Styela clava: one gene and its partners. The protein of the gene in region 3 purifies or fractionates together with the protein of the main gene of each other region. This does not show direct contact. Links are inferred from orthologs where the notes say so. Each region holds a gene or a part of one and is shown on either strand. Other genes may lie near its edges.

The links. Proteins that work in one complex are often made in the same cells at the same time.
Region 1: the proteins of nucleolar protein 56-like (region 3) and uncharacterized protein LOC120330391 purify together in Homo sapiens (affinity purification with mass spectrometry; 6 studies listed by BioGRID and IntAct, with this or other methods). This does not show direct contact. The link is inferred for Styela clava from reciprocal best matches to the Homo sapiens genes NOP56 and NOLC1.
Region 2: the proteins of nucleolar protein 56-like (region 3) and ribosome biogenesis regulatory protein homolog purify together in Homo sapiens (co-immunoprecipitation; 3 studies listed by BioGRID and IntAct, with this or other methods). This does not show direct contact. The link is inferred for Styela clava from reciprocal best matches to the Homo sapiens genes NOP56 and RRS1.

What each region holds. Positions count from the first base shown.
Region 1 is NC_135261.1:11,303,014-11,310,604, forward strand, and holds the start of uncharacterized protein LOC120330391, read left to right. Parts: upstream 1-4,576; coding exon 4,577-6,664; 3' UTR 6,665-7,591. Other genes in the region: flap endonuclease 1-like, read left to right, coding at 2,164-3,300. UniProt on the Homo sapiens protein: Nucleolar protein that acts as a regulator of RNA polymerase I by connecting RNA polymerase I with enzymes responsible for ribosomal processing and modification.
Region 2 is NC_135263.1:4,727,854-4,735,576, reverse strand, and holds the start of ribosome biogenesis regulatory protein homolog, read right to left. Parts: upstream 3,016-7,723; 5' UTR 2,880-3,015; coding exon 2,716-2,879; intron 1,388-2,715; coding exon 1,315-1,387; intron 840-1,314; coding exon 801-839; intron 1-800. Other genes in the region: protein phosphatase 1 regulatory subunit 16A-like, read left to right, coding at 5,966-6,030, 6,550-6,734. UniProt on the Homo sapiens protein: Involved in ribosomal large subunit assembly. May regulate the localization of the 5S RNP/5S ribonucleoprotein particle to the nucleolus.
Region 3 is NC_135258.1:15,344,971-15,352,526, forward strand, and holds the start of nucleolar protein 56-like, read left to right. Parts: upstream 1-4,547; 5' UTR 4,548-4,701; coding exon 4,702-4,704; intron 4,705-6,217; coding exon 6,218-6,416; intron 6,417-7,049; coding exon 7,050-7,223; intron 7,224-7,556. UniProt on the Homo sapiens protein: Involved in the early to middle stages of 60S ribosomal subunit biogenesis. Required for the biogenesis of box C/D snoRNAs such U3, U8 and U14 snoRNAs. Part of the small subunit (SSU) processome, first precursor of the small eukaryotic ribosomal subunit.

The DNA.
Region 1 (7,591 bases), on a different chromosome or scaffold from region 3:
TACGCTTCCCCTGCGCCACCGCTTCTGATGAAGATCGAGTGGATCAGAATCTTACTTAGTTACCGACTCCACGCTTGACAGCCCACGACAAGGCTAAATAACCCCGAAAAAATTTACTATATTTCTATCACCCGGAATAAATATGTAAATCCTATCCTACTTTTCTAAGTTTCACAGCTAATTTTGATGTCCGGTACCGTATCTACTCGAAATGGTATTGTAGAAGTTTTACCTCAGAATCGAAACGAGGTTTTTACAGTCGACACTGCTCCGATTTGACTGCGTCTTGCTTCATTCTACCAGCCACGTTCTACAGTCTCTACGTTCTTGCCAACGTACTCATGTTCGCGCGAATGTTCCACGGTCGCAAAAGCTTTTCCACATGATGCCGCTCTGCGTTTTTCATAGTTACGTGCAAGTTCTACCAAATGCAGAAAATGAGCTTCAAGCACGAGGTTATTCCAATTTCGCAGACGTTTGAAACGACCTGTCCTGCACAGATTTATTGAGTAGAATTCACGTCCAATAGATAGGTGCCGATATCAGAAGACGTTCTGTAACCACTGACCTCCAGACTCTTGGTGGATTAATAAGTAATTACAATTCACTTCGGATGGATAGGTGCCGATATCGTTAGACGTTACCGGTACCGATATGGAACCACTGACTTTCAGACTCTTGGTAGGAGTGGAAGTGGTGACTCCTCTGCGGCCCATGGGCCAGGGCCATGGCCCATAGAATTGGGTCTCGGCCCATCAGGCTATGGGCCGCGACTCACTTGGCTAACACAGACAGTCCCCGAACTCATGATAGAACTAGGCTATAATGTAAAAAATCGGATTTTTTTTGTCCTAACCCTAACCTGGTACACATACTACAGGAGTATATTTTTTTGGTTCGAATATTGACAATTTTGTGAAAATTGAAAATTTTGGTAAGATAATTGAATTTTTCCTGATGGGGCCGGCCCATGGACCGTAGTGGAGTCACCACTCTGCCACTCCTGTAGCTTAGTAGACCAGTAAACGGCAAAATTCGATTTGCCCATTTATTTTAGAAATTCGGCGTCGTAACATTTATTAATATGCCAGTCGTGATATTATCAATCACAGCAAAATACATCAAAATTATTATTTTTTTTGACAATTTTCACATTCTGTCATTTCAGCATTTTATGGCAGTATGGTGGGTTGAAAATGACAACACACTTACTGAAATTTGCTCGAAATTTGGGGAAGTAACTTCCAAGAAGTTGCTAAAAAATTGAGGTTTAAATAAACATTTTGACATCTGAACATGCAGACATGTCAAATAAAGATATCTACCAGCCAAGGCAATTTCACCATGTAATGTAACCTGGCATATGACTTAAAAACATACCTACTTGCTACTTCTGTACTTGCAAGATAGATTTCATCAACATTGGGTAAATTAGGTAAAAAATAACTCCTGCACTATGTGAGTGATCAGGCTTCATGCGGAGCTGTTTTATGCAACAAATAAATATGATATAATCTACTAAACGACATCTTACTGTCTTAGCTTGTGACAGTAGCCATAACATTGACCATTTTGTTGTCGATTTTTGGTACGGCAGCTTTAGCTCGTGCCATGGACATCGTTTGGAGGGTAGGTATATGGCTTATTCGACATATGGGACCTAGCATCTTCATAACTACCCTCGTTTGGACAGGGAGAGGGGGGAATTAAATTGTAACATGTTTCAATAGTATAATTTTAAAATTGAATACAATTAAAACTCAATCATTTCTAGTGCATTTTCTTTGCCATGGGTGACATTTAACAAAGATAAGCAACTGCAGAACTGGGGCTTACTAGCCAGGTTCAAAAAAGATTAGTTTAAACCTCTGGTTTGAATGCCTATTTGACTAGAGAAAAACTAACATACTTTTTAGTGCAAATCTTGTTTTCAATTAATCTAAAAAATTTGGGGCAATGGGGGCAGACTATCTGACGATGGTTATTCACTGCTTTCAACTCTCAGCATGGTCAAATCAAACTTCTGACTTTTCCATGAACCTCATTTCATTTGGACCTCTTGCAATTTTAATTACTGAAAAAAATCTGCTTCCATTTTAAAGCATTTTCAATGTCTTTTTTTATAGATTTTAGCTTACCCAGTTGTCTTATAACAACAGAATAATGGGAATTCTCGGTCTCTCAAAGTTGATATTCGACAAAGCCCCATCTGCTGTCAGAGAAAATAGCATTAAAAATTACTTCGGTCGAAAAGTTGCGATTGACGCCTCAATGGCCATTTATCAATTTCTGATTGCAATTAGACAAGATGGAAATCAATTAACAAATGATGAAGGAGAAGTAACTAGCCATCTTGCAGGATTGTTTTATCGTACAATTCGAATGTTAGACAATGGTATAAAGCCTGTTTACGTCTTCGATGGTAAACCTCCTCAGATGAAGTCTGGTGAGCTCGAAAAGCGAAAGGAAAGACGAGAGGAAGCTGAGAAGAAACTTGCGGAAGCAACAGAGGCAGGAGAGCAAGAAGAAGTTGACAAATTTCAAAGACGACTCGTGAAAGTCACTAAACAGCATATGGATGATTGTAAAAAGTTACTTACTTTTATGGGAGTCCCTGTCGTCTCTGCACCAACTGAAGCAGAAGCACAATGTGCTACTTTGGTAAAAGCTGGAAAAGTTTATGCAACGGCCACAGAAGATATGGATGCTCTTACATTTGCATCCAATAGACTTCTACGACATATGACATTCAGCGAAGCAAGAAAAATGCCAATACAGGAATTCACTCTAGAAAAAGTGCTTCAAGAAATGGAAATTACACAGGAACAATTCATTGATTTGTGTATTTTACTTGGTTGCGACTATTGCGGGTCCATTAGAGGTATTGGACCTAAACGTGCCTATGACCTCATCAAACAACATAAAACAATTGAAGATATTTTGGGGAATATTGACAAGAAAAAGTACACAGTACCAGAAGATTGGGCATTTGCTCAAGCAAGATCATTGTTTATTGAACCTGATGTTTCTCCATGTGATGACATTGAACTTAAATGGAAAGAACCAGATGAAGAAAAACTCATCGAGTTTATGTGCAAAGAAAAAGGTTTCAGTGAAGATAGAATTCGAAATGGAATCAAGAAGTTAATGAATAGTAAGAAGCAAAGTACACAAGGCCGTCTGGATGACTTTTTCAAAGTCAAAGTATCAGCATCACCAGCTGTGAAAAGAAAATCTGATCCCAAGGGCAAGAATACACCTGCAAAGAAAGTGAAAAAGGAATTCAAACGAGGAAAATGATCTTCTAGAAAATAATCAATATCAAAAACATTTTTGTGTATGCATAAGATACTCAAGAATAATCAATATCAATACTTTTATTGAGTCTGATTAGATAACAGAGCGAGTGAACATGTTCATTTATGGGAACAATGTCTTGTGTTACCTTGTAACCTTGTTGGTTAGTAGACTTGTTCCTATTTTGTAATAACGGCTATTTTGCTATTTTTTTCCCACCTTATGGACTCCAAAAATATTTCTGTGGAAGCCAGGATACCCAGGTGAATAAATAATCTACACCTCTTATCTCTTCGGCACCTAATTTGTGTATAACTTTGCGGTATATGCCACATTTAATTTGAATATATGCTCATTTTAGGGCTGCATTCATAAGGAAATATGAGATTTAAAATCAGTGGTATATTATTGAATAAAGAACTTGCTTATAACTTCATGTAATTGAAGTTTTAATCTCATTTCAACTCATTTGTTACACATTATTGAATAGACTGTTCTTTTTGTACTATTTTTCATACCTTGTTCCTCGTAAAGTTAGATTTTTTTCAAATCACAGCCTTTATGTAAATAAGCGGCCTTGTGTCTTTTGTTCTCTCTACCCCAGGATGAACATTTATCTTCTTTCAAAACAATCATTGAATGATATAATTTGTTATTAGCAATTTAGCATATCCATTTTTGTTTGTGTAGTATTTGTGATACATTGTCAAGAATTCCATTTTAAATAAATATGCATATCCTGGCTCGAGATCAATGAAAAGTTTAAACTTCGAAGTTTAAACCCTTATTATTTTTGTATTGAATGCTGTAAAAAATAATATCAACAAATCTTCTTCAGTGGTCTTTTTAAAATAAGGTTTTCAAATATATTGCCAGATGCTGACTTAATATACATATTATACATTCTCTCCGCTAGATGGTGCTCAAGATTAATAAAAATTAGATTTTTGTTCAGAATGTTTATCAGTTGGACTGGAATTTCGAAAAGATCATTCATTATTGATATTTATATAGCATTCAATTCTACTGTACTTGCATAACATTTGCTTATCTCGTTGTCAACCTATTATGTGCTTTGCCAAACTTTTTGATTGCCTCACTGCCATTACATTGACTCTTTTTATAAGGTTTTTGTACACATTGTTTTAGACATGCTTTCATTGCCCACTTCTGAAAAAGTTATCTCAATCATATTTTGTTAGCTTCAGCTTTGTTCACAATCTTAGCATATTGTTTTTTTTTTTCAGCTTATTAATAAAATTCAGAATAAAATTTTCCAATGAAAAATATACCTACTGAAAAGAGCTCAGTTGTTGCCAAGATGGCCGCGCAATCATGCGACGTTGAACGATTGATTTATAAATATTTTATAGATCGTAAAATGACCAAATTGGCAAAAAAGTTTCGGAAAATCACGGACACTAAATTACCAGAGTCGGATCAACCAACTTTGAAAGAGGCATATCAATTATGGAAGGAAACTCAAGTAGACCAAAAAACACCGAATGGAACAAGTACAACAAATGGAAAAACTACAAAAAGACCAAGGAAAGCCGATCCACCATCTAGCTCTGAAAGTGATATGTCATCATCCGATGAAGAGAAGAAAGTTCCAGCTAAAAAGGCTAAAATTATCCCCAAGAAAGAGGATTCTTCTGAATCCAGTGAGGATACATCCTCTGATGATTCTGAATCAGACAGTGATAAAAAGAAAGAAGTAAAAGCGACTGTAAATAATAAGAAAAAAGAATCTAGCTCTGAAGAGGATAGCTCAGAGGAAGATTCAAGTAGCGATGAAAAAAATAAGAAATCCGCATCTGGGAATCTAGTAAAAACTACAGTTTCAGAGTTGAATGGAAAGAAAGATCCAAAGAAGAGTAAATTAGAGAAAACAAGGGAACAAGAATCATCTTCCAGCTCATCTGAAGATTCATCAGATGAGGAGAACACTTCAAAAAGCGTTGCAGTAGTGAAAAAGCAACCTGTGAAAAAGAAAGAATCATCAGATTCCAGTGAAGACTCTGATGATGAATCTTCTGATTCTGAGGATGAACCGAAAAAGAAACTTTTAGTAAAGAAAAAAACTTCTCCAGCAAAAGTGAACCAGAAAAAGGAAGAATCTTCATCGGAAGAAGACAGCGACAGTGAAGAAGAGGAGAAGGTTTCTAAAAACTCGATGAGTGTGTCAAAGACAATAAAAGCTAAAGATTCATCAAGTTCTGACTCATCATCTTCTGAATCAGAAAAAGACGTTGAAACAAAAAATGCTAAAAATGTTTCAGCTGTAGCTAAAAAGGAAGATTCTTCAAGTTCTGAAGACACATCTAGTGATGATGAAAAAGAAGAAACCAAGCCTGTTATAAAGAAAACTGCACCTGCTATTAACTCGAAAAAAGAATCCTCATCTAGCAGCTCAGAAGAGTCATCAGACGAGGAAAAACCAAAGGAAACAAAATTGAAAGCAGTTGTCAAACCAGTTGCTAATAAAAAAGAATCGTCAAGTTCAGATGAATCCTCTAGTGATGAGGAAGAAGAAAAAAAAATAAGTGAGAAAACCAATTTGAAAACTTCTAAAAAAGAATCTTCAAGTGAGGATGAGGATTCATCCAGTGAAGATGAGGATGTGAAAAAGGCAGATGCTAAAGTAACAAAACCCACAAATACTAAGAAAGAATCCTCATCAGATAGTTCAGAAGATTCTTCTGAAGATGATGACAAGAAGAAACCAAAGCAAACAAATACTTCAGTAACAAAAACAAAAGATTCCGGAACCTCTGATTCAAGCAGTGATTCAGATTCAGAAGATGAGAAGCCTAAGGCAGCACCTGTTCAGGCTCAGATCAAAAAGAAGGAAGATTCTTCATCATCAGAAGAGGATACTGATAGTGATGATTCCAGTGAAGAGGAGGATGCAAAATCTGCAAAGAAACCGGAGGTAAAAAATACGCCACAAGTTATTAAGAAAGAAGAATCTTCCTCCTCAGATGAAGATGATACATCTGAAGATGAAAAAAAGGTTACGATAAATAAAACTGAAACAAAAGAATCATCTTCATCTGATGATGATTCTTCTAGTGATGAAGATGATAAAAAGAAAGCAAATTTGGTTGCAAAACCTAGCGCTAATACAAGCATTTTAAAAAGAACGCCTGTTGCAAAATCTACTCCTATAGCAGCTGGAACGAAGAGGAAGAAGTCAGCTTCGTCAAGCAGTAGCAGTAGTGAAGATTCTTCTTCTGATGATTCTTCTAGTGACGATCAATCTTCTAAAGTAGTATCTGTTACTCCAGCGAAAAAGAAAAAACTGGAAATAAAGTCAAAGAAAACCACAAACAATAAAAAAAAAGGGACCATAAAATCGAAATAAAGTTTAGGTGATCATGTATGCATTGAACAATATCAGATATGAGTCAGGATTGTTACAAAAAAATTATGAACGGTTCATGTATGTATCCTATACATCACTTAAAGTGGAGGCTATATATGGTGGTTCATTAAGTTTTTTTTGAACAGTTAAAAAAAATAATGCTCAATTTGATGAATTGATCTAATCTGTAATAATGTCTAATTTTCACAATTGTCAATTACTCATAACATATTGATTATATGAATTATAATCCCATGATATGAAATTCTTACATTTTTGTCACAGTGTCCATGAGTCTGCCTGGGGTTAATTTTTGAACTTAGAAACCTTTTTTACTGAAGGGTAGTATTTCTTGGTTAAACCTTTGTTTTATTATCTTGATTTTCTTGGGACTTGAGAGCAAATGTGCTTTAGTTTGGGACCAAATATATCTTGGTGTTTGGTGGATTTTATCCTTAGTATGGTTTTTATTTTTACTAACTGTGTGTTTCATCCGGGACCCATTGCCATATTTGATATACATGAATTTATTATTTCTTCGAATTGGAGCTGATGTTTAAAATTTTTCATACGGTCTGTATCTGCCCCATTTCCACCTTTTCATTTTTTAAATCATATTGTGTGTCTGGTGCTGTAATATTTAACAGCTTTGTTTATTTGAAATGTGAGCTGACAGTTTGATAAAGTCTGAGTTTGAAGTTTTCTTATTTGCTCAACTCAAATAGTTTAATGATTCGTCACCTGATTTATCATTTATGACATAATTTATTTACCTGGCTTTGTCTGAGTCCACAATCTCTCGACCAGTACTATAGATTAATGTTAGAGTTGAATGAGCTGCTTTTTCCAATGGAGGTTTTAGCAATCATGGTACAATTTCATTTGTTAAGAATGGTTAGGAATGACACAGTCAGCGTTTTGGTTTAA
Region 2 (7,723 bases), on a different chromosome or scaffold from region 3:
ATACAAGGTTATCTCTGCAATTATTAATAGATGACAGTTGAAAAAACTTGAAACAATTCAAGTTATCCCTGTCAGAAAAATAACTAAGTGGAAACTCTACAAAGCAGAAGTTTTTACATACAAAATGATCATTGACAAGCGGACAATGGCTTTATTAATACAAATGACTAATAGCCATAACTGATATTGGCATCCTTATCAGTGATGAGATGGAAAAATTGTAACAACCAGTATGTACCTAACTTGTGAAAACGTACTATGACCGTAACAAACCGTACAGTTATTAACTAAGTTAAACGGGACTCCCCATGACATAATTTTATTCCAACAACAGGAGCGCAAATGCCATTAAATGTTTAACAACCAAAACTAGGTAGCCTACCGGTGCGTTTCGGCTGCAGCTCACCACTGATCCTTATGCAAACATAATCAAAATTCAATTGATCTGAGTTTGAATTGCAACCTGTTTACAGCCCTGTTCTGAGCAAAACGTCTCATTTGATTTTCAAACAAGATTGTAAACTCAAGGTTAGATTTAAATTAATCATGAGAGTATAGTGCATCTAGAAGTGTGTGTACCAATATGGAGGTAACTAATTTTGTTTGCCTACTTTACATCAAGTTGTGTAAAGGGACTGAAACCTATGGGCAGGGGGTATATCTACTTGTCTCACACGGACAGTCCTGAACTCGTAAAAGAACTAAAATAAGAAAAATCAGAATAAAATTATGGCCTAACCCTAACCTGGTACACATGCTACGGGAATGCCCATAACAAATAATTATTTTTTACATTATACCTTGGCAACTATGGCTTCTTGTACTCGTTCAACTGGTAACTGTAAAACAAAAATAGCAATTATTAATTTTACAACATTATCAATGAAGCACTAATGTTGCCATTTATCCTTCATTGATATTCAGGTTAAAAGACGAGATTGAAACTTTTTACACTACAGATTAAAGATGACCATAAAAGAATCAAATTCTGATATGTCAGAACCCAAATCACATTACTAAGAGTCCGATTTTATATCACCAGGACCAGACTCCACAACAGTGATTTCTTTTCTCAATAAAATCAATAGGATAGGGGAGGATTTATATATTTATAACACAGCTTAATCATATGGTGAACCACACCCTTCCGTCCGGTTACCAGTCCATGTCGGGTATGGGAATAGTTTAGTTAGTCAGTTATTCGTTTTCGGATGCATGGACTTGATTACCCAATTCAAAATCATTCAAGTATAATAATTATTTAGTATTGCCAATTCTCTGTTGCAAATATTAAAACAAAAACAACTTTCTCACTTTCCATATTTCATTAAATAGCAATTGTGTGTTGTCTCTTGTTAGTTTCTTGATGTAGTCTTCTGAATTTTGCCTGAAAAAAATGATTGAAAACTGATAATTTGTATGACTACAAAAACTAGGCACACATTCAGTAAACACCGTTCCCTTATATGGCCAGTTGATGCGAACGGAATGTGCGATTATGCAAAGGACCAGTGCCAAGGGAGCTGATTAGAATTGGGAAACACTAAAAAGTGGCGGCTTGTAAACATGGCTCAAAAATTTTATATGAAAATGATGCTGGGGTTGTTTAGAGCCAAATAGCATTCTAAACCAATTTATTTTAATTAAGTTGAGCAGGTGGGTCTGGTATAGTACAAGGGATTAGTTCAACAATTTTTGCATATGTAATTCCTACCCCCCATTTGACTACGTCATCCAAAAATTATGTCACCATGATGACTTCACTGTAACACGTTAAGACACGGAAAAATACACGAACAGTTATTCCCACCGTGTAGATGCTTACCCTAAACCGAGAAAGCTTTGTCGTCGGGTAGTGTTGGGAATAAAATATGCAAAAATAGTTATTCCACGTCCACTAGAAGTACTAAAGAGGCACTAAACTACACTAGACCCAAGGTCATTTTGCGAGATTTATTATGCTGACGATTCCATTTTGTTTATTGTACAAAAGATCAATTCATGATGCAAATTTGACAAGTTACTGAGCTAGCAAATGGTATAAAAATGCAACTATCCTCAAAAAGAGAAAAACGTGCAACTTAGACAGTAAATTCCTGGAATGAGATTGAGTAATTCCATAACTATAATCTGCTTGGCAATACATTTTTCATAAAAGTTCATCTCTACTGTTCACTCCCATTTATAAAATCTATCAATTCGGCAGTGGCAAACGTTATAAATTTATTAATATGGTGTGGCAAGTAATTTTTATTTATTTTTTTAAATTACCCGTATGTAATTTATAACTTCTGTATGGTTGTGAGTGTGGGTGCGTGTGAGCGTGTGTGAAATATTCCCATTATTTTAGGTAAGTGAACACGTACCACTTTTTCTTGGCAAAACCTTCCATCTTGTATACATTCTGTACGTTTTAAACCTTATCTAAGGTTTTGTTTGCTCTCCTGATTTCATAATCATCATTTTTTTTACCAATCATTTTATTGTTATGCTGATTATGGAGTCGAAATAAACGTATACTTAAATAGATAGGTATGTAGTTTATCAGTTATTTGTAAGTATAAGTTTAATATAACTTGATTATACCAGTACAAGAAAAATCTGGTATTGAGAATCAACAGCAAAAAAAGTAAAGAAACAAAATTGTTCTTCCATATACTGTTTACTTTAAAACTTGTTCACTAATACAGCAGTATAATATTAGATGTATCTTACTTGAAAGCTTGTGAATCCAGTAAATTGGAGTCCGTTGCAATAAGATTTCCCAGGTCGAATTCGAGGTCAATATCTTTCTCAACAGTGATAGATTTTAATTTTTCTTTCTCCTCTTCAGTTATATTTTTTAATAGTTGTGACGCATCCGCAGCAACTTCCTCCATTTTGTGTAAAATTGAATCACAAAATGACGAAAAAACGGCGAAATTTAGCAAGACAGATATTAAAACTTTGTCGATTTAGGGAAGGGTTACCAGATTGGAGTAAATCACATTTGACATCCTTGCAAAATTTTTACTAAAAGTAACATTATAAATTTTTGATAAGTTTCCAAAATTAAAAAAAAAAAAATACAATTATGGAAACATCAATTTTATGCAAGTCTGTTGGGGATTTGTTACTTAATTGCAAATTTAAAAAATTTAAATTTCTGTATATCTGACAACTATCAAAATTACATGCTACAATTATGACCACCGATGCGTATCTTTTGTCCGACAATTAGTTTTACTTTTAACAGATTTTTTACAAATTTTTACGTTCTAATTGTACAGTTTTCGCAATACTTCATTTTTTTCGATAACTAGAAAGTTAAAAAAATGGGTTTAAATAGTTTTAAAATTTTGCACCACAAAACAAATTTTATGGCTCTTTCATAAATACCCATGGGCGTCATCTCGCGGATGTGGTTTATGCCAAAATTTTGTCTCTTCGTTCTCATTTCGTGAGAGTTGCTCGCTTTGCAACGCCGCACTTGCTAATCTGTTTGCTAGCGGCTTGGTCGATGGCTTGGTGCATCTCGTCACGACCTGTTTTTGAAAGTTATATAATTTTTAGAGAACACGTTTTCGTTACTAGATTTTAAATTAGGGTTGAGAAGTTTATATTGCAATTCATCAGAATGCTATGCTCGCAGTGCTAAGCTTGAGTGTTCACTGGTTTAGTGGATTTGAAAACCAAATTGGACTTGAGATCGCAGAATTTATTAACGAAATTGTGAATCATTAAGACGATGACGGCACTTTAAAAAAATTTGTATTCAAACCTTAGGTCTAATCAACTTGAGAAGATAACAAAGACAGAAAATAAAAATTTATAAATAATTATATAAATAATATTATTTATAACAATTTTGTTAGTCTTAATTAACCTTAAATCTATTTCTGTATCCCAAAAGATATTGCCTAATATTCAGATATTGCATTTCGTTTTCAGGTCTTAGACTAAAAGGATTGCGTCCTAGGCAGTTTTTATCATTGAAAAGATACCGCTTAGTTCTTTCCAATGTAGTCTAATTGAAGCCATTTAAGCATTTTTTTAGGATTACATGATTAATGGCCTAAATTGATTTTTAGATCAATATCCATATATTACAAAATGTCTATATTAAATCTTTTTGCAATATTTTTATTTATTTTGAATTAATCATTCTGACTTTTAAAATAAATTTAAAAATCAATTCCGCTTGTCTTTGGCAAAACCTTTCAACTTATATTTTGTACGCTTTGAACATTACCTAAGGTTTTGTTTGCTATCCTGGTTTTATAATCAGTTATCAATTAATTATCTTATCATTTGTTATGCTGATTATGGAGCCGAAATAAACTTAACTCATATAAATAATAAAAAATAAATAAATATCCTAGAATGCGCACTTCAAGTCTCGTCAACTGTCTCACCTTTCAAATACTTGATCTATAATCAATAGCTCATAAGCATTGGAGTGAACGTAATGTGAAGTAACATGATAGACTTTTGTTGTTCAGTTATGCATATAAATCAATTTAAACCGCAAAGTATTCTTGTTAAGAGGGTAATTACGCTACAAAGTTTAGATTTCAATACAATGCATTTGTAACTTACGCATGGAAGAAAATAGATTTTCTGGAACTGTGTTGTGTGCAAAGAAGTTTTATCTGGTTTCTATTAGATAGTAGCATTAGGTGCGCGCTTGCTCAGGTTGGCGGGTTCAAACAATATTTTATGCTGATAATCGTTTTTTTTTAATTCAACTAATTATCCTTTTTCTATGCCCTAGAGGCGGTCAATCTGTATTATCCATGTATGCTGAAACAAGAGTGAAAATATCTATTGTGGGTTATTCATAGAGTATTGCAACTAGAAATTTGAAACACTTGCAACATTTACAACTGATACTTTAGTTTATTCTATTTCTTAAAGGAACTTTTCAAATTATATTCATTTTTCACGATTTTTCATACCAAATCCTAGGGGTATGAGTATGACCCAATATATTCCATTTCAACTGAATTTTAATATTCTTAAACGTTTAATAAATGTAGTATTCAATAACACTTACAGTTTAAATTACTATTTAATAGTATGGTTTAATCATCTCGGAGAAATTACCAAATTGCATTCAGTTCCCTTAGGTCGTTTTCAGCTGAGCAAGGTTTTTATTGATGCATCTATTCCCTTCTAATTTGTCTCTAGAGATATTTTCTAGACTTGTTGCTTAATGATTAAGAATCGATTATCTAGAAACGATTGGCCCAGAAGAAAAATTGGAATAAACATTAGTCTACGTATTAGTATTACTAAGAATAAGTTAGAATATTTCACATGATATAAAAAGCAACAGTTTTGTATCTTCTAAGTAAATGAGTTTGAAAGTGCAGATTAGAGGAAAATGTCATTTTTGTCATTATTGTAGTCCAGTCTGTTTGGTATGAATCTTATTTTAATGTGGTAGTCAATGAAGTGGAACCATGCAGCTCTGCTACACATTATTTAAGATGGTATTATTCTGGCGAGCTATGCTTCATTGATTTCGAATGGTTGAGTCCTGAGTTGTATTAATTCATCAATTTTTTTAAGTAATGGGAAATTGTCTTCTTGTCAATATAATAATTACTCAAAGAGACAGAAAAAGATATTTTGATATATTTTTGTATTACGAATATCATCAAGTATTTCTTAGTTTATAGGATGTCATATTGTGTGTCACTTTCATTTCTACTCTTTGTCATTTCAAGTATTCAGTACATTTCGATCAAATTTAGGCTTTGTATGCCTAAAATGGTATTATGACAATCCATTTCGGAAAATCTAATTTACTTACTGTATTTTATATCCAGGGCCCTACTTTTAACTTTAGTTCGTGCAAACCAGAAACTGTTTTCCTCATTTTTCCAGCATAGATTAGGTGAATTATCATACTTTAATAGCAATGCAATCTAGCTACCTAGGCAGGTAATTATAACCTTCGTTCTGGAATGTACTTTGAGAAATGGTGAGCCATGCAAATCTTGTTGCAGAAATTGATTACGTCAACAGCATGTCAACTGAAGACAGGTAAAAAAGTTTTTTGTGTTGATATAATGAGGATTTAATTTTTCTGTGTGTGCAACCATGGCATTATATTTAAATAATGAGCAAAATATCTATCTGGAGAAAAGCATTATCGGCCAGGTAGTGTGACTCATTGTAATAAGCATTAGAAATATGCTCGCCACCGCACCTCTGATTACTCTGCATTGCTTCGCACTTTCGAATCTTGTGGGGGATGATTATTAAAAGAAGATTGCTGAACTCCTTGCCGCCGTAAGGTGGATCACATAACCGCCAAAAGTCAAGGAGACTCATCTCTACAAAGTTATGGTCACACCACTGAAAGAGCTAATAAAACTATATTGAAATAGGGGTAGCGCATTGGATGCTAGCCATTGGCGTGAGATGTGAAGGGGTTCAATTCAATACGACCAGAAAAACTGCTATTGCATGGGGAATTCCTTTTCCACTAAAGTTATTTTGGCATATTTTTGTCATATTATCAGCATTTGACATTATTTCTAACAAAAATATATTTTCAAGGCTGATCCATGCAAGGCAACGTCGACAAGAACAACTTCAGCGTTGGAAAGAATCCGAGCTTGAATATGAAAAAGATAAGGCAGGATTACCAAACGGACAAATAGCAAATGATAACAAAAGATCAGTTAAATTTGGAGATAGTGTTACATTACTTGAAGCTGCCGCTCGAGACGATGTAGATGAAGGTAGAACACCTTGTATTATGCAATAATTCCCACTTCATGCATGTAAATTACACAGACTAACAAGATGTTTGATTAAGGATCAAATTAAAGTCCTAACCATGCAAGCTGAAAATGAAAATATAATGAAATGGAAGATCAGTTGGCATGCATTTAGTCGAGTTTATTTTTCCAGCCAGTAATAAAAAAGAGTGATATTAAAAGTCAAAACATAATGAACTGATTTGGGAAAATAATATTGCATGTGTAATAATGGCTTTAAATGATTGTGACTTTTTTCCCAATTTGATACGAACCTATATAAAGTACCTTCGCTATACTGCTTTCTATCTCCCGCAGCATGTCTATACTTTTGGAACCATAAATTTGGTATTTGTCCCCAGTGGCGCAACCAGGCTGTTTTCAACGGGGGGGGGGTCCGACCGGAATTTACACAGTGCAACCACGACGTGAGTCGCAACGCCACTAGGTGTCGCCCCGCTGACCACGATAAATTGCTCATGGTTAAAAGGGAAACGCCATCGATTAAATCCCAGCCTTTCGCTTACCTTGCACTCGTTCATTAACGGCGCTTCGCTATGTCTTGCACCTCGTGGGTAGCAAAACGCCGTTCATTACATTCCAGCGAATTGCTAACGAAAAGCTGTTAATTATTTTCAACGTTTCCCTCGCTTTGCGCCTCGTGGATAGTGAAACACGGCTTGAATAAATTCCAGTGTTTCCCTCGTGCCGCGCCTTGCTCGTTGGGTGAATTCGTCAACACTAAAAACAAAATGCACTTCTTGCGAATGGACCTTTTCCCGACCCTAACCCCGGAAAAATTCTAAACTAAACTGAAGCTCACCGGAAGACATAATGACAATTAAAATAATTGATTTACAACTAATTTTTGGAAACACCACTAAAAACTGACTAATTTAATGCAGGGATGTCCAAATCGAATTTAAATTCAAATACTGTTTTTTCGTGTTTATAATAATCCCGAATATGGC
Region 3 (7,556 bases):
ATCACCGCCTTGTAACTATTTCTTGATCGCCTATACTTGTGGTTATTCATGTATTGCGTCAATTGGGATATTATGGTGCGTGATGCGTCGCCATGAGTCTGTGTTAAGTGGCGGATTTACCATTAGGCAAGGTGGACTGAAGCCTGGGGATCATTTTAAATTGTAAAGACTTGTTCCAGAATGAAACCTAATTAAATTTCATGAAACTGAAATTTGCTTAATTTTTTTTTAATCGGGTCAATAATTCTTGCCACAAAGATTATTCGTTCAAACGGGTAGAGACCAAATACGTTTGACTAAATGAATTCGTTTAAACTTGAAAAACTCTACCTTAAATTTAAAAGTGAAACAGTTTAAGTTTAACAGTTTTACCATAATGCCTTCATATTTTGAAAAAAAAATTATGAAATATCAATATCTAGCTATATATATATATACTAATTTATCTAAGCAACAATTAACCTAAAAAATTAGGATATATTTGACTATTTCTGGTCTTTTTTTTTTTATCGCAGAACCGTTCGAAAAAATATAAAGCTATATTTAATTATTAGTATGTTTTATTTATCGGCAAGGGGACCATGCCTTCCCACCTCTCGAGACAATAAACGGATGTTAACATTTATTTATACGTCCGATTTCTGCCGCCATGACGTTTTATTACTGTATGAGTTTGACAGAGTGTTTTTAAATTCATTTTACTATCCAATCTACTTAGGTGATTATCGTACGTAACTTACCCGTAGTTGAAATTTTGTATTTCACGCAATTTTATTCATGACGTCCTTTATCACATTCATCAAATTTATAACTAACACGAAAACGTCTACTACCATGTCATAATGGATTAGTTGTGACCAGTGTTCCCTCTAAGAAAATTTCACACTGCGCAAATATTGTTTTTACTGAACAAGACTATTTTAAGGCTGAGCAGAATCCTAAATTATTTGCAAATTTGTTAAATGTAGTAATAGTAGCTTATTATATATCATCGGAATGCGAACAAAGCACACGTTTAACTCAAATAGCTTTTTTTGTTTTCATGCCTTTACAAGGTTTATACATTTTGTCCGTGTTTGTTTTGTTTATTGCTGAATCAAGCGACAATCATCCAAAGAACAATACTTGATGTACGATCTCGACATTTTTGTTGTTGAAATATCATTGCTTTCATCAAAATCAGAAATGAAATTTTGCTTGTCTTATGCTCCGAATGATTTTTTTCCCTGGCGACAAAGTCTATGCTTATCAAAAATTCGAAGCCATAATTTTTGCTTCACCAGGAATGTGGCAATTTAGTGTATGTTGACATGCGACGATTTATTAATTTGCGGGACAATATTGATGAATTAAGCTTAAAACGTGGTGGAACACTATCTATGTGAGGCTTCATTTCACTTGATGGGGTTTTCAAAACTTCACTTTCTTCAGCGGTCGGTATTGCGGTGAAAAAGTTCGAACAACCTCCTCTTGCTTCCACGTTTCGCTTAATCGTTAAAGCATCTAGTGCGTCAATGTGCTTTTTTATTATTCAAATGGCGTTTTAAATAATCAACTTCTTATTCCCTCCCATGATTTTCTTTTTCCAAATTACTAACAGGTGCCACTTCCCGACAAACTTTGTGGATTATCACATTCCTTGACGTGGAATAGTAATAAATTTCGCAAAGTTCAGCAGTTGTTTTAGCTTATGCATACCGGTATCAAGATCGCAAATGAGTGTCGAACACTTCACTGTTGTATTTAGCCATTCCACTTTAAAATGAATTTTCTTATTTTTAGCTTTACTTCCCTGAATAGACATTTCACACACAAACGTCAGATAAAGAAAACTAGTATATTATTGGTTTTGGTTAATATGCTGAATATGAAAACGCTTAAAATTTTTTTTTAGTAATTTCTGGTGAAACATACTCACAACATCGCTATATAACATCGGTATCATTCAGTATAAGCTCATGGCCACGTGTGTACCAATCTAGAGATTTAGGAGGCAACAGTGCTAGCACTCGCTCAAACTCAGCCCTTCTTGAAATTCCAACTAGTTTAACCATATATTTACGGTTCATTAGCCTAACCATACGGCTACGAGCAACCAACAAATTTCCTGTAACAAACAATGGGCACCAGCTTTGCAACATTTGATACCTATTAAAATTCTAAATTTTCTCATATCTTCATCTGTTTGATTACACTACGAACAATAACAAGATTTAGCCGGGTCGACAACACGAAATCCAGAGCGCGCGATGAAAATTTTAAAAACTGACCCACGCTGGCATACAAAAATTAAGGTATTCGTAACAGACAGGTGTGTGACATCACAATGACTAGTGTTTACCAGAATACGCGTGAAACATAAAACGAGCATTCTAGTTGAGCGGTAATAAATATGACATATGAAATATGAGCCACGATTTGAAAACGAAATGTTGCAACTGCGCGAGAATGAGATTTTACTGCGCAAATGTTCTAGTGATACTGCGCAATTGCGCGGTTGGCAGCTTAGAGGGAACCTTGGTTGTGACGTTATTGTTAGAGGGTCCTGATAAATAGCATAATCTATAGTGCAAGGGTGGGCAACCTTTTTCAGTTTGCGTGCCAAAATAAGCATTATCGACAAAGAAAAACATACACTTTCACACAAGTATATATTGAGTTACTTTTTAATAAAATAACAATCTGACAAAATGATTTTATTACTTTTTTCATGCCACATCAGTGTGACATCTGCTGCTGCTTTACCACTGACTGAGATTTTACATCAGGTCTATATTTTGAAACTTTCCGAGAAGTACACCAACTACTAGTTTCATCAGTTTGGCTAATCCTATTACAAAACTTAAAATAAAGTTCATAACTGGGAACAGAGATACACAACCATATGCTGATGAAAACATAAAGAGTAATGCAGTTGCAAAATTTTTCAAGCACGGAAGATTTTCAAGAATGGTAATCCATATCTGCAATAGTTCTTTTTCTGCACTTCTCTCTTGTATTCCCTCCTTTTATCGCATTCTTCCATTATTTACCAACTCAACTCTAAGGTATAATCATTTTTCGCTTTCAATTTTTTTGCTGCCACGAAATTTATTATACACCAAGTTTCATCGGATAAATCAGGGGTTGTTGCCTACCTCTGGACTCTAGGGTTCTCATTGTCTAAATCCGGCTCTGCTCTTGGCAGTTCAGGGCTTACGCGTAATAATACTCAAAAGTAGTCTCCTTTACTTCTTAATGAGTGCGGGTGAACTGGTATTGAGCAAATTCTCTTAAAATATTTTCTCGCTATGTCCATTAAAAAAGCTACAACCCTTGTTCAATGTATTTTCTCGTTCCGAATAGACAATGTGTCTAAAACAGGGGTGGGCAAGGGGTTTGTACCAGGGGTCAAATATTTTGATCATCTAGACTGGCGGGCCATGAAAGTGTGACGTCAAAAGTTACATTTTATGAACAATATTTACAGTGTTACAAAAGCAAAATTGGAAAATAATAAGCCTCGTGCTAAAACTAAGTTTAATTGCAATCTCAACAAATTCCCTGAGCTAATTTTTAGCTGAAACAAAATACCAAAAGAGAGCGAGCTACGCAAAACCAGCGGCACGTGATATGATTGTTTCCCAGAGCGTCTATTTCCTTGTATATTTCTGCAACAGTAACTAATCACCAATAAGTTAGCAATTAGTGCAGTAGCTCAGAAATTTTTTATATATACACGTCTATGGATGTAAACATTGCCATTTTTACGGGGTTTTGGGTGTTGTTTGTCAGTTTTTAGTTGTGTGTCCAAAGATTAGTTTTAAATCAAATTCATCTCTAGTAAATCAAGTAACTTGAATGTCATTTTGTTTTCAGATGAGTTTTTGTATATTTAGTAAATTTTCTAAAAAAAGGGCTGCAATGGGATATACATATTTATCCCGAGAATAAGAAAGCCGATAAGACGGCTTAATCATATGACGAACCACGGACACTCGTTCAGTTACCAGTAGCCTACATGTCGGAGTAGGGGATTAGTTAGTCAGTTATTTGTTTTTAGAGGCATGGACTTGATGGTAGAGAAAGCCTTAACCTACCAGAGATTACGTGTACTACTCTACGGCGGCGATGAGTCCACCAATCCTTTCGCACATAACTATCCCCGCATGAGATCGGATCTGCGAACCCACGCGGTGTAATCAGAGGTTCGCGGCGAGCATATTCCTAACGCTCAGCACGATGTACCACACCAGCGAGACTGGGCTAAAACTAGCTATCAATACCCGCAAGCGATATTTGGATAAATACATTTATGAAAAATGATGGTTTTGAAGCGCCAATTTTTCAAAATACTCTCAACATGAGCATCAGAAATGTGCATTGTATCTTGTATGTACTTTAGAAAAAAATTCTTGGGTCAAGGGTCGGGGAAACATCCATTTTGATGATTCTCCGCAATCCATTTGCACAAAATTACATAGGATTACGTTGTCTTATTGGTTTATATTCTTTTTAAAAAAAATATTGAAATAAAAAAATTATCTGATTGTTTTACCCTATTCATTTATTATATAAATGTATAAATATATAAATGAATATGTAACTGGGTTTACGTAAATAATAAATAATAAACGATTTTTCGGTCGAAATCTCCTCGTGGTCTCAGCGAGCAGACAGACGTATTTGTTGCTGCGAACGGCGACAACAAGTTCTTGCAAAATGGTAAGTACATTTAGTTTACCGAAATTGTAGTAATAGGATGTACTGACGTAGTATTATTTAATACAAATAAAATTATGTGAATATGTTTTTATATTTCAGAGTGTAGGCCTAGTGGTGAAATTTATATAGAATATTTTGTTGCCTGTCTCTTCGCCGCGGTAGGCCAACTTAAGAACTTACAAAACATGAACGTAACTAGTACCGTACCGGTACGGTAACACAGCAACATGTTTGCTTATATTGATTGTGTGGTTGTAGGCCTATAATAATTTTCTTATAGTCTGCCAAATATATAATCATTTATATACCTGCATCCTTCTGGACTGTCAGACTCTGATAACCGATAAGCAATAACCAGATAACTGGAATATATATGGGCAGTACATCACAGTGGTTCGATTTCAAAAATAACCCCTTTATTTGAAGACAATTAATTATAAATAAGTTTAAATAGATGTTAAAAAGTTGATAAACCAAGCAATTTTGACAACCCGAATCTTGAGGTTTCACAAACTGAGACAATTCCAGAATTCACAATCATTATTCGGACCTCCTGAAGTAGGGTGGCTTACCCACTTTGCGGCCATGACCTATCTGCGACCATCAACTTCATCGATTGAATTAATGTCGAAAAAATTAACGAACCGCGACGATATTTCTCACGCGTTATCGTCCACTTATCCCTCGTAGCTCGGCGAAATTACACTAAAATGCGGCCACAAATAAAAAAGTTAAGACCGAAAACCTGACCGAAGAAAAAAAACAGACCATTTTACCATGTCGCCAACTACCCATTGTTCCTTTAAAAAAGCTTGAAAATCCATACAAATATAAGAGATAAAGAGATGAAACTTGGCAGGTGGGTAGAGTTGTGTTGCTTTTAACCATCTTTAAAGTTTCGCGTTTCTACATTCAAAGTAGGGGGGTGCGCATTTCCAATACGTCAATAATATCTTTGTCAACTAATTTGCGACCACCGTGTTTTTGTCTGTTTGATTGCTGTGATGCGGTGCTTTGTTTATAATTTGAAGAATTTTGTTCGAAATAACCGTGTTCTCAAAATATATGACGGTCAGAAATGCAATTAGAAGCCCATTTTTTCACGCATGGCTGCGTATGCCCTAGTCTCGACGCAGCAGAAACGATGTTCAAGGCTTGTAATCCGTGATCGCACACTGGTCGTTCGGTCGCAAATACGTCTTCAGAGTCTCGTACTTTGGTGGTTTGTTTAGCTTTAACCCCTGGTCGTAGAAAGTTAATTCGAAGTTCAGCGTGTAGAATAAATGCCAATGCACCTACGGTGAAAAAATTAACGGGTTTGAAATATTGGTTTTTGTTTTATAGCGGTTTGAATGAAATCGTCCGCAGACTGGCTACACCAACCTATGCGCACCAAGATGGCGCACAACCTGAAGTCAAGTTGTGTTCCAGGTTAGGGTTCAGGTTGTGCGACAGCTTGGTGCGCATACTTCAGGAGTACCCATTATTCTCTAAACAATTTTGTTTGTTTCAGTTGTACATTCTGTACGAACACGCAACTGGATATTCGCTGTTTCATGTGCAAGAAGTAGAAGAAGTTGGAGCACTGTTGCCGACAGTCGAGAGAGCAATCACAGATGTCGCTCTATTCAAGACCATTGTTAAATTGATTGCATTTTCTCCATTTAAGTCGGGAACTAATGCACTGGACAATGCTAACGCTATTTCTGAAGGTTAGTATACACTCTTACCAGCTATTCCTATGCCAAACTAAAGACCAATACCTAGAAGAACGATAGTTGTTTTATACAAACCATTGGCTGTTTATCCAGACCCTCTGATAGAATGCATGAAATGCTTCATTGTTCAGAAGACTTAACAGTTTTGAATCTGATTTTCTTAGTGTTGTTCTTTACTGTTTTCTTTGTGTCAAATGCATGTGATCTGATGAATCGTACCTCTTTCATTTGTTTATTATCCTGGTTTTGCCCTTTTTGAAAATAAATGGTTAAGTATTATAGTAAGCTCAAATCATAACCATATTTTACTCATTTACACAATCACAATGGTAAAGCTGATAAGACTGCTTGAGCATATGGCATACCACGACCACTGACTGACTTGAGTGGTGAAATTACCCACTTTAATAGATTAATCTATTCTGCATCATTTCAAATAGAAATTGAACATCTCCAAGAAATTCTAAAAACCTGTCGCTTTTGCTTCCTAACAATAAAACATTTCTTTTATCAAATATACCCAAATTCGGCATGTTTACGCATATTTCTATTACGTATATTATGACTTCTTATTTCAAAATTCTATGACTTTGTTAACCTTCTTTTCATAATAATATCTTCTTCTAGGTATTGTTCATGATGATTTGAAATTGTTTCTGGAAACTAATGTTCCAACTGGTAAAAAAGCAAAGAAATCAGGGTTCGAACTTGGTGTGTCTGATACAAGAATAACGGCAACAATACAGGATGAACTTGGAATCAAATGTGCAGTTGGGGACGCTGTAACAGAAATATTCAGGGGTAAAGTATAAGGACAGAATTTAGGACCGAAACCCCTTTTTCGACTTTTTTCGTAAAATAGTTAGTTGTTTTGCCTCAAGTGTCATTAATTTTTTAACTTGATACTGTTATAATCGAGAAGTCACGTTTTTTGATTCTATTTATAGGATTTTTGGATGAGCAATATTCATCAGCCTCTTCTCTTAGTGTCCAATATTTTAGTATGAAATTCACCATATATCGAAGTAAATGACAAGCTTGGGGAAAAAATTGTATTCAAGAATGGAGACCCTTCTTGTCCTTAATTCAGTATAAACCCATGTTTGTAGATGTGGTTTATGTTGCGTTCTAGAG